3 linked regions of the Rattus norvegicus genome follow. The protein of the gene in region 3 purifies or fractionates together with the protein of the main gene of each other region. This does not show direct contact. Links are inferred from orthologs where the notes say so. Each region holds a gene or a part of one and is shown on either strand. Other genes may lie near its edges.

Region 1 (5,536 bases), about 190 Mb from region 3:
TAGCAATATTGTTTAACTGCATAAAGACTTTAGGGATCTTAGCCTTATGGTTAGGCTTAGAACAAGGAAATTATGAGGGAGGAGAGGAAGTATCTGTGCAACAGCGAGTGCTTTAGAAAGCACAAGCAAAGGGCAGTACTGACCAACAATTCGCAGATCCATTCCCTCGTGAGAAGTCTGGACAACAGGCTCCTGCTCCCCAGATTAGCTCAAAACCAGCTGCGCTGAAGCCAATAAGAAAGGCTATGGACTGCACATGCCACAGCCCTGTCTTCCCCCAAATCCCCAAAGAACAAGATGATGGGAGAAAGCCCCAGCACCAGGCCTCTACCTGAGAGGGAAAGGTAAGACTCCTGGAATATCATTCAAACAGCTTCTGCTCTGGCTGAATCTAAGTGCTACAGGAAAGGGCACGTTTCTGTAGCTGTAGCGAACAAAGGTGATGATTTGTACCACATCATTCACTTGCCATGGTCCCCATCCTGCCTTACTGAAGAATGAAAAAACCAAAACAAAAATCCCACAACTCCCAGCTTTTCCCTGGAGATACAGAGCTGGGGTATCCATCTAAAGCTCCAGCTTCTCAAAGGTTGCCTACGGTTTTTATCTCTCTCGTCTCAGAGCAACAACAGGCCATGGCACATTCCAGATGCCTAGGGACCATGGAGACCAAGGGAGTGTTTAGTTTTGATGCAAAGGACCAAGGCAGACAAAGTAAGATAAAATCTAGTATTGTTTAGGAGCCTCTTCCCCATGGTTCAAGAAAGAGTCAACTGTATGGTTAATGTTCTGGAACATGGGGGCTGGCATTGCCCAAGGGACTGGCTGGTTTCTATTTTGAACAACTTGCAACACTAACACAGCCAGCATATTCTAAGAAGTCCAGATAGCCACCAAGAATAAGAAAGCAGAGCAACCAGCTGGGGCATGGTGCCTCATGCCTGTAATCCAAGCACTTGTGAGGCAAGAGCAGGACTACTATGAAGCTGAGGGGCTACAGTACCTGATAAACAGGGGAGCAGGAAGGAGGGAGGCAACACTGAACAACCCGAGTGTTTACAAAGAAACTGTAGCATCACATTGGCACTAGGGAGTTATTGATTATGAACTGATAGAGGAAGGTAAAGGGGCTTGCTGCCAAGCCTAGGGAGCCAAGTTCTATCCCCAGAACACAGACAGACACATATGCATGCACTGTCTTTTTAGACAAACAAAATAATGACTGAAACATCCAAAATTGGGAAAAAAGAAGTGGACATTCAAATTCAAGAAGCCCCCCCAAAAAAAACAGTATCACAAACCTAAGAAGTCCAGACTGACTAAGACATAAATTGTCTAGTAAGTCAGAAATGTGAAGGTACAAATAAAGCCACATGAGGGCACAATGGAAAAGTGGCTATCTGCAAGTCATGGAGTGAGACCACCAGAGAAAACGGTGCTAGCATCTTTGTCCTGGAATTCTGGCCTCCATAACTTTGAGAATATAAATTTCTATTGTAAGGCAGCTCCAGTAAATGAATACAGTATGCTGTAAAAATGCAGTCTCCTAAGCCACACACAGCCTAAGCATTCTGGACCAGCATCTCTAAGAAAAGGCACTTGAAAATGTACTTTTACAACATCTTTATGTGTGCAAGATAGGTGCATGTGGAGAGGTGAGAGGAACACCTCAGGTGCCAGTTCTTGCTTTCCACCTTGCTTTGAGACAGTCTCTTTGTTGTTCTTGTTGTGTGTGCCAGCCTAGCTGGCCTATGAACTTCCAGGGATTCTCTGGTCTCAAGCTCCCTTCTGATCATACTAGCATATGGGCAGGCCCTGAACCAGCTAAAGAACCAAGGATGACCTTAAACTTCCCATCCTCCCGCCACCAACATCAGAGTGCTAGAATTATAGGCACGCATGCCATACATTCTGTGGTATGTGATGCTAGAGATCAAACCCAGGGCTTTCATTCATGATAGGTGTTGTGTAGCAATTTCCTCCAAGATAAAATCCTCCTCCTCCCCCTCCTCTTTTTTTTTCTCCCCCTCCTCTTCCTTTTTCCTCTCCTCCTCCTCCTCCTTCTTATAAAGCCCTAGCTGACCTAGAACTTGACATCTAGATCAGGCTGGTCTTGAACTCAGAGACCCTCCTGCCTTATTCTACTATACCCAGCCAATACATAGGATGCTCTAAAGAACGGTAATAAATATATTCCGTCCTACAGGAATGCTCCTTAAGCTCAGGAAGCAAACAACTTAAAGGCTTCAGAAAGCCTCTGAAACTATACAAGGCCAGCCCCCACTCTTCCTATCCCCCTCCCCCACTCTAGGGCACCTAGCACCCTCTTTAGCTTCAGTGGTACCTGTACACACACACTTAAAACCACCTGTAACTCCAATTCCAGAAAACCCAACACCCTCATCTGGCCTTCATGGCCACCTACACACACGGGCATAACTCACAAAGGCACATAAACATAAATACATATTTTTTAAACTTAAAAAAAATGAATAAAGAAAGAAAATGAAATTGCCTAGCATGCAAGGCTCTGGGTTTGGCATTTAGCACCAACAACAAAATTGTCATATGAGATAAAGAATATTATATATATTAAAGAGTTAGCAAGAAAGAATGAAAATCATAAATACATGTGGACCTAATAGAGCACTCAAATATATGAAAGAGACCCTGACAGAACTGAAGGGGGTGAAAACAAAGATTTTAATGCCACAATTTAATAAGGAATAGAACATCCAGATGGGGGAATCAATATTAGACAACCAGAACAATACTAATTTAAGTATATCTAGCTGAGGTATACAGACATTCCACACAAGAGAGCATACATTCCTCTCAAATGTACGGATGAATATGCCCAGGAGCTCACATGTCGATAAGTTTAAGATAAACCATATCAACTAGCTTTCAACACTACTGGAATAAAACCTGAAAATTCTCAAACATACAGACATTTAAGATCAGGATGAGACAGAATGGCGAGCTTCAGGCCAGCCTGAGTAACAAATTAAAACCGGCTTTTAAAAAAGGGAGACGGGGGTTGGGGATTTAGCTCAGTGGTAGAGCGCTTACCTAGGAAGCGCAAGACCCTGGGTTCGGTCCCCAGCTCCGAAAAAAAGAACCAAAAAAAAAAAAAAAAAAAAAAAAAAAAAAGGAGGCTTTCGGGGGAGGTTCGGTAACTCTTCCTGGAGACATAAGTGAGATATGCCTTGAGTCTCGTATGGTAACTGGCCACTTAACTACATAGTATCCAGTATTCTCACTCGAACACACCGTGGGCTAAGTAACCAATGGAAAATGACCTGCATGCTCAGCGGCAGTATGCGCCTCGCCTTGAGGGGACCTTTCCCTGGTTCTGTGGGATGGGTGAATTCTCCCTACAGTCTTCACGGCACAGAGGAGGACGAAACAGTCCTAGCTGCCGCCCGCCCCGAACCCTAAATCTTCGGCTCTCTCACCCGCGCCAGCGTCGGGATCAAGGTGACCACCGCCATTTCTCCCTATAGTACAGGAAGCTAGCAACCGACCCTCTTCCGGGAACTCCGGGCGGCCGATCTAAGGACTTCACCCGTGGAGGTGGACCCCAAGCCGGAAGGCGCGTCCCAGCGTATGGCGGAAGTAGTGGTGCGTGTGACGCCGCCGGTAGGGGGGGCGGGACCTGGGGCGGAGAGCGGTTCGCGCGCTTCGGGCCTAGTCGGGACTCTCCGCGGCCGCCGCCATATTCCCGGTAACGGGGGCGCGCGGCCGGGGGCCGGCGGGGCCGGAAGGAGGGCCGGGGCTGGCGCCGCGGAGGGGAGGGGGTCGGTTGGGGTGGCGGCGGCGGAAGACGGCGGGTGGAGGGAAGCGCGGGCCTCTGAGGGAGGGGCTGAGATCCTGGAGCTGTGGGAGGGAGCAGGGCAGGCCTAGCCGAGAGCGAGGACCGGGCCGGGTTGGAGTGGAGGCGGCGGGAGCTTCCGGGCCCGCAGGGGGCTCCGGCTTGGGACGCCCCCTGGGTCTAGCAGGTGCGACGGGCTGAGCTTGCGGCGTTGGTCGCAGTGGTTCTTCACAGCGCGGCCCGAGGGCCCTCTCAAGAGTCGAGGCCTGCCTGGACTTGGCAGTGGCGCCATAGGCAGCTACGGGCGCCGACTCGGCGCATCTCCGGTCGGGCCCGCGGGTGATGGGCAGCGAGCCCCGCGAGCCCGAGCGGCCTGGGAGAGCAGGGGGCGGCGCGAGGCTGGGGGCGGGGCGGAGCGGGTGGGGCCAGGCTCGGGGCTGCCGGGATGCTGCCTCTCGGGAGACTAGAGGTTGTTGACCCTTGCCCTCCTCCCAGCCTGGGACCCTTGTGTCTTAAAATTTTTTACCCTTTTCTGAATACCGTAGTGGCATCTTTCTTACTTTGTCCGTTCTCCGGGCTCGAGAGCGTGTTTCCGGAGCCATGTCAGAAGGAGTGGATTTGATTGATATATACGCTGATGAAGAGTTCAATCAGGTGAGAGGAATTAGCAGCAGTTTTGGGTTTTCTTCGGTCAAATCTACTGACAGTGGTTTCTCTCTCACCACAAAATAATTCCTTTTAGTATCGAAGCGTTTCCCCCTAGCGGAGACTTTGAAGACGACTGACCATTCCTCTTTATGTTAATTTGAACCTCCAGGCTTCAATTTTAAAGGGTTTGCTTTAAGAGCAAATAAAAACCCAAGTGTAATAGAATGGTGAATCAGCCTGTGGAATTGTTTCCCCAAGTCATTCCAAAGTTGGATGAGTAACCATAATTAAAAATGAAAATTACATTTGTTGCAGTATTGCGGGGATAATTTTGATACTTGTTACTTTGCAGTTCTTTCAGCTTGCGGCTCCAGCATGTTAGTCCCTCCCCCTTCTTGTCCCCTCCCAATGGTATAGACAGTACGAGAGATAACTTTGAAAGACGGTATATCAACTGCGTTAAAGATGGGAGTTCTAGCTCCACTCCAGGTGTTTTCAATCTTTTTAAATCGCTTGACTGAGAATTCTGTGGGCATTTTGGTATGGATGGGAAGGAAGGTAAAAACCATTGGATAAAACTAGTTTAAAGGCAAGTCAAAGATTTGGTCATCCTAGTTTGAATTTGTGTTTTTACATTTTAAATGTCACCTTAAAAAGTAATCTATGAGGTTGAGTTCTTTGATCTTGAGGTCAAAGCTCAACGAAAAGTTTCTATTTAAAACTTTTATCTTTTTTAAATTTTAGTTATATTTTTTGTTGGATTTTTTAAATTTACATTTCAAATGTTATCCCCTTTCCCAGTTTCCTGTCCATAAACCACCTATCCCATCCCCCTTCTCCCTTCTTCTGTGAGGGTGTTCCCTCACCCACCCACCCCTTCCCGCCTCCCTGACATTCCCCTACACTGGGAATGTGGACTCTTTGGGTAGTGATTTAGTCCCTGGGAATTCTGATTGGTTGTTAATGTTCTTATGGGGTGCAAGCTCCTTCAATCCTTCCTCTAATTCCTCCATATCTCAGTTCAGTGGTTGGCTATGAGGATCCTCCTCTGTATTTGTCATGTTCTGGCAGAGC
Region 2 (4,950 bases), on a different chromosome or scaffold from region 3:
AGGCCAATTAAACAAACAACAGTGAGAAGCAGAGGACGGTCATTAATGTGCCATACTGGGAAGAGGACCCAAGAGATCCAGTCTCTGCCTCTGCCTCTGCCTCTGCCTCTGCCTCTGTGTCTCTCTCTGCCTCTGCCTCTGCCTCTGCGTCTGTGTCTCTCTCTGTCTCTGTCTCTGTGTCTCTCTCTGTCTCTGTGTCTCTCTCTGTCTCTGTCTCTGTGTCTCTGTCTCTCTCTGTCTCTGTCTCTGTGTCTCTGTCTCTCTCTGTCTCTGTCTCTGTGTCTCTCTCTGCCTCTGCCTCTGCCTCTGTCTCTGTGTCTCTCTCTGTCTCTGTCTCTGTCTCTGTGTCTCTCTCTGCCTCTGCCTCTGTCTCTGTGTCTCTCTCTGCCTCTGCCTCTGCCTCTGTCTCTGTGTCTCTCTCTGCCTCTGCCTCTGTCTCTGTGTCTCTCTCTGTCTCTGTCTCTGTGTCTCTGTCTCTCTCTCTCTCTGCCTCTGTCTCTGTCTCTGTGTCTCTCTCTCTCTCTCTCTCTCTCTCTCTCACACACACACACACACACACACACACACACACACACCAAGCCCATCTTTTGGATCCTGACATGAGTTTAGAGCAAGAAGTGTGAGTAGCTATGATATGAAAGCACTTCTGAGGGTGTTTTAGCAGGTTTTCTCTGGATTGTGTGAAACCTTCCTGGGAGACAGCAGGCTACAGCCTTTCCCCTTTCCCGACATTCCTTAGGAGAGTCCAAGTTCTTAGTGTGTGCTGTCTCACTAGCCTGAGAGGCTCAGAGGAAGACTCAAATGTCTCCTCAGGATATCTTCTGTTTTCCAGTGTCCCTATTTTGGCTAAGATTGACTCTACCATGATTTAATAAGCACAAGCTTTCTAAGGCCTTATCCAGAACTTTCTAAAGTTCTATGAAAACTAAAAATAGAATGTTCCACTCAGTTACCCCTAAGCAGAGCAGAGTGACAGAGGCTGCAAGTCTCTGATGCTATGGCAACAGAGCAGGGCCAAAAAGTGGGGCCCAATTTACTGTTAGGATTCGCTTTCCAGCCATATTGTCTTCAGGGCTGCCACATGTGACACACATGGGGCTCTGCTCGGGAGCTCACAGCTTGCACTGTGTACATGAGCCTCTGCGTGGTTTTCATTTTGCACTGCAGCATACACAACAAAGGGCTTCAGTTGATTGGCACATGAAGAGAAGAACAAAAGGCTGAAACAGGAGGGAGGGGAAGGCAGACTTGGCTCCTACATTCATAGTGGCACAGCAGAGGCAGGCCATTTTCTCTGAGCTTTACTTCCTCTTCATATGTATGTCTACATGCCAATGCATGCATGTACATGGGTGCACATGCCATACACGCTTACTACTAGTAGTCTTTACTAATCATCCACTTGTAGCAGTAAGTGGCTTTAAAGTATAGCATGAGGTATTTTTAAGAAAAACCACTGTACAGGCAGTTCTAATCAAAAGGACTGAGGTGGGCCTACGTGGGAAAAGGGAGAGGCTGACAGAGTGCAAGGCTACCCTGTCAAGCCCTGTCAGCTTCAAGCAGGATGCATCTGTGCTATGAATGGAAAACTGCTGCCTGGTCATTCACCTCACTGGGTTCTGGTGAATGGCCAATGTCCACAGTCCTTAGGGTCTTTCTTCCAAGACACAGCACTCCCTAAACAAAACCAGTGTAGTCAAAGAACAGTGTTTCAGGAGAGCCTGTCAGAGCAAGTCTACCTCTCTCTTCTTTCGTTTTAAGTGCATACGAAATGTCTAAGAACATTACCTTGTTAACTTTCACACCTTCTTTTGGAGTTTGTTTTGTTGCTAGATTATAACCAATCATCTGCTGAGCCAGCTGTCCCACCACTTTAGGGCTAAGAGGGACAAAAAAGAGGGGATGACAAAGAAAAAACAATTAGGACATATTGCAAATCACTATATAGCAGGGTTCACAGTATCAAGGGTCACCTTCGCCACCCCACCTCCTTACACCCACACCTCCTTATATCCACACTGGCCAGGATTACCTGAGCCACCCCACCTCCTCACACCCACCCTAGCCCGCATCGCCCCACTACCCACAGACTGCATATCTTTCCTTTTACATTCTAATTGTCTAGTGCTTCCTGAAGGCACACTGAAAGCCAAATGCAGATGAAGGAATGAGTGAATGAGTGAAGGGATGCTGAACTCTACTACCCCCCCCCACCCCCAAACAAATGTGTAAAGAGACAATACTGGTGCATAACCGACTTAGATCGAAACTGATAATGGATGATCTGGGAAACAGTAAACAATGAGAGGGAAAACATGGACCACAATCAATGAGAAGACAGTGATGGAAGAAAGGAAAGGCTTGGTGTGGGGCAGATGCTGGAAAGATGCTCAGACACAGGCAGGCGTAAACTATCAGCCCAGACGCCACAAAGACTCCACTGGTCACAGGAACCACAGAATAGTACTTATGGAAATGAGATGAAGGGAACATTATTCCAGTTGCAAGCCGTGTTATTTCCCGCTTTTAGGATGAATCACAGATTGTCTGGGAGAGAGGAAGTATAGCCCTACTCAGTGCAGGATACAAAACCCTCTAATGAGGGACAGAAGGCCTGGGGCAAGGCCACAGCCCTGCCAGAGTCTCCATTTCCTCTCTGTATCGCACACTGGCCCCAGCCCTAGACCTCCTGCTCAAGAATCCTTTCAGTCACGATCAGGATATGGACCTAAACCATTCAGACTTACTCTTTTGTTAAATGAACACCTCCTTTCAAACCGCTATCGAAGACACCTTTTCCTCTTCCTCCAGCTAAGATCTGGGCTTTTAAAACAATTTCCTTTGCATCTGAAAAAGAAAAATCCAGACAGTAGTTGTTTGAAATCCTTTCCTTTCTTCATCTCTTCTTTAAAGGGGCAGGAATAAAAAGCAATAACAGGATAGAACTTACACATGACTACTAAAAGAGCTCCTAAATCAACTTTCAAAATAAAGGCAATGAGAAACTTCCAAATAATTAAGGAAGCTTGTTTCCTGAGGACAGTCAAACACATCCCATCTGTGTAGGCACCTGACAGGCAGGCACACATATGGAGGAAGCCAGGCTCTTGTTCCCTTGCCTTCTGAGAGTGCTAGAAGGTGCTAAAGAAATCCAGGAGGTGGTGTGACTTTTACTGTGTCATGATGCTCCCATGTAGCAGAGGATCTGACTGTGAGCTGTGAGATGTCAGAGGGAGATGATGGGACTGGGTATGGAAAGGGTTTACAGACAAGACACAAAGGCTGACTTTAATAACCGTATTCCTGGAAACTAACAGTGTTCTGAGTAGTTGCTCTATATATTGACAGGGATGGCCAAGAAGGAAGGAAATGAATTAAAACTAAAAGCAAGCAATATTTTTTTATAAAGTATTGGCAAAATGAAAAAATCTCCTAGGGGGAAAAGGGGTTTGGGAATATTTGTTTCTCGGCTCATGCAAAGAAAGAATAAACACTCTGCTTCTGACCTTTTAGACCACAATTATAAACTCAAACCTGTCTACAGGCCTGGCAGGGAAGTGGGGTGAGAGTCACCTAGTGATAAATGGGGTCTCTAGCAAGCAAGAGCTCCCTTTCCCTATCTGGGGGGAAGGGATGGTCCAAACCAAATATGTTAAAAAAACAAAAAACAAAAAACAACCACACGACAACAACCACCACCACCAAACAACAACCCCGCACACATCCCAGACCACGGCTGACCTCGCGTTTGTGTGTCGTCTTTATTGAAATTAGAGAACTAAATCATCTTCTATTAGGCTGCCATAGTTTTCTGTTCTGCCTCTGGGACTCAGTTTACTATTTGAAACAACAGTCTGGATTGTTTTAAGGACCAGAGGAAAAAGAGCTGGGAGGGAGGTGGCTTAGTGGTTAAAGTGCTTGCTTGTAAGCATAAGGACCTGAGTTCGGATCCCTAGCACCCACATAAACCATGTAAGAGGGCAGCACAAGCTTGCTGTCCCATGCTGGGGAAGGAAAGACAGGAAGCGCCTGGAGTGCAGCTGCTGGCCAGCCTCTCTGAATCGGTGATCTCCAGGCTCTCTGAGAGAACTGTCTCAAGTAAGATGGGGACTGACTGAGAAAAACACCCAGCAGCGAGTCCACTCACTCAGCTACACTCCCACGCATGCGCACTCTAAATATTCAAACAAAGGGACGAACGCTTTAAAAATAATAACTCCGGTAATTCATGCTGAGCTGTCTGAGTGGTTGGCCACTTCAGTTAGAAGTCACTGCCATTGCTGCTCACAGTCAATCAGGCAGAGGATGAAGGTCAGAGATCCGCAAAGGTTTTACTATGGGGAGCGATAACAAGACCGCACAAATGGAAGGCCTGGGGTCAGAAAGTGATCAGCCAGCCCATGCTGAGGCTGAAGCTGCAAAGTGCATTTGCTGCTCTCCCTGCTGGACTCCTGTCTCTCTCATGAACCTGTCCTCCCACAGTCACAGCTCAGTCACGGCTCCTTCTTAGAACACAGCCTTGTCCCGCCTGTGACTCTTGCTTCTGCCATCAACATGAACCATCAGCAGCCGATCCCTGGCTTCGAACAAGGTGGCAACTGATAAGTGAGTTCTGACCACCGCACGGGATAGCAGCCAGTGCATGTGCAGAGATACTGCACTACAAGAAGCCGGACTGAAAAGCCCAACTAAGGGCTGGGGTACATGCGCCTCAGTAGGAGAGCAAGCCTCTGGGTCAGTGGCGTAAGACAAAAAGCAAACACATTCTGTAGAGGTAAACAAAAGGAGGAAAGAAGAGGCCCCTTTGAAAAGAGGTTATTATAAAGAAGCACACAGAGCTACGACAGCACGAAGCTCGGTACAGGAGCTGAGGTGCCGATGCCAATGTCTGGTACATTAATAAAACAATGTATGATGCCTATGGCATAATGATTATTCTCAGTGACTACC
Region 3 (4,950 bases):
ATGTGGCAGGTGATGGAACACTAAAGGGATGAGGAAAACAGGATCACCTGTCATCATCAGGTGTCCAAACTAGAAGGACCAGCTGATAAGCACTGTGAACTGCGTATAACCCAAGCGCCAACTGTATATATAGATCACTAATTTGTAAGTTCACTGTAAAAGTACTAAATAATATAGACAGGCACCTGTAAAATGGAAAGAGTGCACACGATTACAGGTAAAATGGAAAGAGTGCACAGGATTACAGGTAAAATGGAAACAGTGCACAGGATTACAGGTAAAATGGAAAGAGTGCACGGGATTACAGGTAAAATGGAAAGAGTGCACAGGATTACAGGTAAAATGGAAACAGTGCACAGGATTACAGGTAAAATGGAAACAGTGCACAGGATTACAGGTAAAATGGAAACAGTGCACAGGATTACAGGTAAAATGGAAACAGTGCACAGGATTACAGGTAAAATGGAAACAGTGCACAGGATTACAGGTAAAATGGAAACAGTGCACAGGATTACAGGTAAAATGGAAACAGTGCACAGGATTACAGGTAAAATGGAAACAGTGCACAGGATTACAGGTAGAGGGGAAATAACATTCTACCTGTTATTCCCAAGCAGATGCACATTCAAGAACATAACCTAGCCTCTCACTGCCTGGCAGGTATGACATTTTATAATTAATATTAAACTATCAAATACACTGCGTTGTTGTTTCTATGCATCTAAGCTCTAAAGGGATTTTTGTGAAGTAGCCTCGTCACTATCACCTGTCCCTTGTAGTTAGTGGGAATCCCGCCCATGTTGTAATGCACAGTGGGAAGGACTGGAATGGGCTCCTTGGTGACATCCACGCCGGCGAAGATCATGGCCGTCTCTGAGATCCCAGGCAGACGCGTGGCCAGCTGCTCAGGGGGCAGATGGTGCAACTGCAGGTAGACGTGATCCTTCTCAGGGCCACAGCCTCTGCAAAGCAACACTGAGCGTGAAGCAGTGACAGGAAGGAAGCTGGACAGCCACTAGGTGAGCCTGACAATCTTGATCTTGAGGGAAACTTCACCTTCATCTATGGTCAGTGTCCCATTGATACCTTTTTTCCTTCAAGTATTTTTTAATCATAGTGTGTCAGGGATACTTCTGTACAAGGACAAGCCAAAAATTAGAAGCCTATACTCACCAATCTTACATCCTTGCCTTGGGTATCATGATTTCCTGTTTTCCTTGGTAAATGTACTAGAAAGTTTCAGACTTCGAAGTTTTAAATTAAAGTGTCAAACCCATATTAAGTCCCTAGAGTAAAGCCAGGCACTAGGAACCTGAGGCAATTTTACTGAAAGAGAAGTGACACACAAGCCCTGAAGAGCACCTGCCGAGACGCCTGTGGTGACTCCTAAGGCTGTGAGTCTCACCCTCACACCAAGAATACACGAGGATATGTTTACAAGCTGATGTGAAGAAGACAGGATATACCATAAACTAACATGCTTGTCAAAATAATGGAGTAGCTTTATTCTCTAACCTTAACCCTGAGGGTAGGGTACCTGTCTGCAAAAGTTAAAGTACTAAAATATATAGCTGTGACCTAATGGCTTCCAAAGAGAAAGAGGACACGTTTATCCACCTGCCTACAACTCCCGCATCCCTGGAGGGGAATTACAAACCTTCCTTCACGGATCTCGAGAGTCATGGATCGAGACACAACATCTCTTGATGCTAGGTCCTTGGCAACAGGGGCATATCTCTCCATGAACCTTTCGCCTTGGCTGTTGATGAGAATGCCTCCCTCTCCACGGCACCCTTCTGTGATGAGGCAGCCAGCACCATAGATACCTGTAAGAACCCAGGTGACTAAATGTTTATGAATGAATGAGGACTAGGCAACCACTCCAAACGGTTAATCCTTTTTTAGAAGTGACTTTTTGGGAGAAAAGGAAAGGAAACACAAAGAATGTTAAATTCAAAATAAGAAGAAAAGTCAAGTAGGAGGAGGAATGTGTGTTCGAAGCAGCAGAGACAAACTAGAAAGCACAAGAGATCCACCAACAGCAGCTCATTCACAGGATCTAACCCATACTCTGATTAAACATCATCTATGCTTAGTAGACTTAGTTTCTTTAAATATATCTTTATACCAAGAAATGTGGCAACAAATTTAAGCAGGAATAAGACAGCCTAGGGAATTTCTATCTTAAGTACCCAAAGAGCGAAAATTATTTTAGTGGTTAATATTTATGTTTGTATCAAGTCTAAAAATTCACTCATTTCAGGTCTATGATGGCCCCAGGTACTAAGAAGTCTCTCCTCAGAGGCAAAAAAAAAAAAAAAAAAGTAACTCATTTAAGTCACAGAGCTATTAAAGGGCAAAGCCCACATTCAAACCAGAGGAGCACGATGAAGGTTCTTAATATAATTTTGTGTCCTTCAGTGTGAGGAAAAACAAGGAATGCCACACACTGAGTTTTAAGGGAAGACGCTAATTAAGGGTTATTTAACGCTAACTTTCCTTTTATATGCCCAAAAGGTTACATGCTCTAAAAGTGCTTTTCACTTTTCACAGCTTCAGTAACATCTGTTAGGTTGTTTATTTCTTATAAGTTGAAAAGAAAGCATAAAAAATGGAGTGCTAATCACAGCACATGAGGGGCAATCCAGAGGCTTGGGGACACCAGACAGAAATTGAAGACAGACAACTAACTCACTTTTTATTCTATCTTTGCTCATCTCTTTCCTCTGACAGGAAGAGCTAATTTCTCCCACAACTAGCTCTTTCTCTTCCAAATCCAAACCCTAACTTTGGCATCAGCTGCAGTCTGCTCTGTTCAAACTTCACATCCCGCTTACCACAAGTACCTAAACCCTGAACCCAGAATCTATCATGAACTGCCTCTATGGACCCAGGAGAAAGCCCTCCGTGAGGACTCAAGGAGGGAGACGTGAACCCCAAAGCAATTAATAGGTGTTGCATGCTTACAATACACAGAAGAGCCCAGAGCCACACAGGCTCTGTCCTACCTGTGGGGTGGAACTGAACAAATTCTAAGTCCTGGCAAGGTAAACCAGCCCGAGTGACCATGGCTGTGCCGTCCCCTGTGCTGGTGTGGGCAGAAGTACAGCTGAAGTAGGTTCGCCCATAGCCCCTGAAAACAGAGAACAGTGAGTGTAAGCGTCAGTCCACCAAACCTCTTCTTATGTAGTGCAGCCTCTGGAGCCCCAACCTCTAACGACCCCTTGCTTGTAATGTACTTGGATACATGGCACGCAGTACTGGGAGGCCACATTTGTGACGCTGCTATGGGCTGGACGCTGGGAGACAGAGCAGGGAAATGCTGTGTTTTTGTATTTTGGTACTCTGTGCTTTATCTTCAAAGAATTTTCCTGATATGGATATATAACTTTTATAATGAGTCTTAGGGTTTCACTGCTGTGAAGAGACAACATGACCACGGCAGCTCTTCTAAAGGAAACATTGGAGCTGGCTTCCGAGTTCCAGTCCATTGTCATCATGGTGGGAAGCATGGCAGCGCTCAGGCAGACACGGTGCTGGAGAAGGAGCCGAGATCTACATCTTCATCTACAGGCAGCAAAAGGACACTGCCACACTAGGTCTAGCTGGCGTACAAGAAACCTCTAAGCCTGCCCACATAGTGACATCGGCCACACCTCCTAATAGTGCCACTCCCTGTGGGCCGAGCATTTAAACACAGGAGTCTATAGGGGCCATTCCCGTTCAGATCACCACATAATGAAAAGTGTTGTTTGTTGATTTGTTATTTTCCTTTACTATTTCTCGCCCAGCTTTACTATGCATTTGTAAGAAGTCCATATGATCTGATAATGTACACTGGTAACCGATTTCATTAACACATAACTTGTAAGAAGTCCATATGATCAGATAATGTACACTGGTAACCAATTTCATTAACACATAACTGCATAATTATCCTTGCTTCGTGGGGTGGGCACTTAAGACTCTTGGCAACTGTATTATTACTACAGCTAACATGTTATTAGATTTCAGAAACGGCTCGTCTCAGACTAAGATTGTTTTTATTTGAATATAAATGTCCCCAACGTACGAAAGTACGTTGAAAAGGCTTGGTCTATGGCTACTGCATTATTGGGAGATTGTGAAGCCTTTAAGACATGGGGCTTTATTGGAGCAAGCAGATCTCTCAAGGCATGTCCTTAGGAACATATACAGTCTTTTTGCCATGAAGCTGTCTCCCATGATATACTTGTCCTGCTCAAACACATCAATCCATGTTCCGTGGACTGAACCCACTGAAAACATTAGCCAAAATAACCCTTTCCCTGCATGTTGTTTTGGTTACAGTAACACAGTCTGGTCATGGTGAGTACTACCTCAAACATTTGCATAGGTGGTCTATTCATGACGTGATTATGCTGACTTCATCCCCTTCCCATAGACAGCTATGGTGGGACTGCCACGCCATGTTAAGTTTCACTCTTCTGGCTTCAGGTATGAGAGTTTGTGTGTGGGCCTGATGATGACAATGGGTGTCTTTCTTGATTGCACTACATTTTATTGACTCCAAGAGCTTGTCAACTAGCTGGCTAGTGTCTCTAGGCAGCATAGGCTGGAGAGTCCCTACTCTGCCTCCCAAGTCATGGAACGCACACAGGACTACACTTGCTCAGTTTTACGTGGGATCTGGGCATCCAAGGTCGGATTCTCATATGGAGGCGGCAAGTACCTTGTCTGCTCAGACCTCTCCTCAGTCTTCCTTAGTTTTGTGAGGCGCTTCCATAGTAACCATCAATTTACCTTTAGACTTTTAGGGCACTTTTCGCTATACCTTAATTTTTTTTTTTTAAGATTTTATGTTTGTGTGTCTGTGTGAGTTATGCAACATGTGTGTCAATGCCCAAAATGGCTACCTCAAAGCTGGAGTTCCAGGGTGTTGTGAGCCTTCTGAACTGAATGCTGGGACCA

What was found.
Region 1: the proteins of Sdha (region 3) and Sdhaf2 purify together in Homo sapiens (co-immunoprecipitation; 3 studies listed by BioGRID and IntAct, counting the BioPlex papers as one, with this or other methods). This does not show direct contact. The link is inferred for Rattus norvegicus from reciprocal best matches to the Homo sapiens genes SDHA and SDHAF2.
Region 2: the proteins of Sdha (region 3) and Suclg2 fractionate together in Homo sapiens (co-fractionation; 3 studies listed by BioGRID, with this or other methods). This does not show direct contact. The link is inferred for Rattus norvegicus from reciprocal best matches to the Homo sapiens genes SDHA and SUCLG2.

What each region holds. Positions count from the first base shown.
Region 1 is NC_086019.1:216,589,125-216,594,660, forward strand, and holds the start of Sdhaf2 (succinate dehydrogenase assembly factor 2, mitochondrial precursor), read right to left. Parts: upstream 3,545-5,536; 5' UTR 3,495-3,544; coding exon 3,459-3,494; exon of another isoform or gene 3,309-3,458; coding exon of another isoform or gene 3,303-3,308; intron 3,224-3,302; exon of another isoform or gene 3,073-3,223; intron 1-3,072. Other genes in the region: Cpsf7 (cleavage and polyadenylation specificity factor subunit 7), read left to right, coding at 4,415-4,468.
Region 2 is NC_086022.1:129,775,038-129,779,987, forward strand, and holds part of Suclg2 (succinate--CoA ligase [GDP-forming] subunit beta, mitochondrial), read right to left. Parts: intron 2,848-4,950; coding exon 2,748-2,847; intron 1,880-2,747; coding exon 1,789-1,879; intron 1-1,788. UniProt on the Homo sapiens protein: GTP-specific succinyl-CoA synthetase functions in the citric acid cycle (TCA), coupling the hydrolysis of succinyl-CoA to the synthesis of GTP and thus represents the only step of substrate-level phosphorylation in the TCA.
Region 3 is NC_086019.1:30,777,618-30,782,567, reverse strand, and holds part of Sdha (succinate dehydrogenase [ubiquinone] flavoprotein subunit, mitochondrial precursor), read right to left. Parts: intron 3,134-4,950; coding exon 3,009-3,133; intron 1,827-3,008; coding exon 1,658-1,826; intron 963-1,657; coding exon 767-962; intron 1-766. UniProt on the Homo sapiens protein: Flavoprotein (FP) subunit of succinate dehydrogenase (SDH) that is involved in complex II of the mitochondrial electron transport chain and is responsible for transferring electrons from succinate to ubiquinone (coenzyme Q).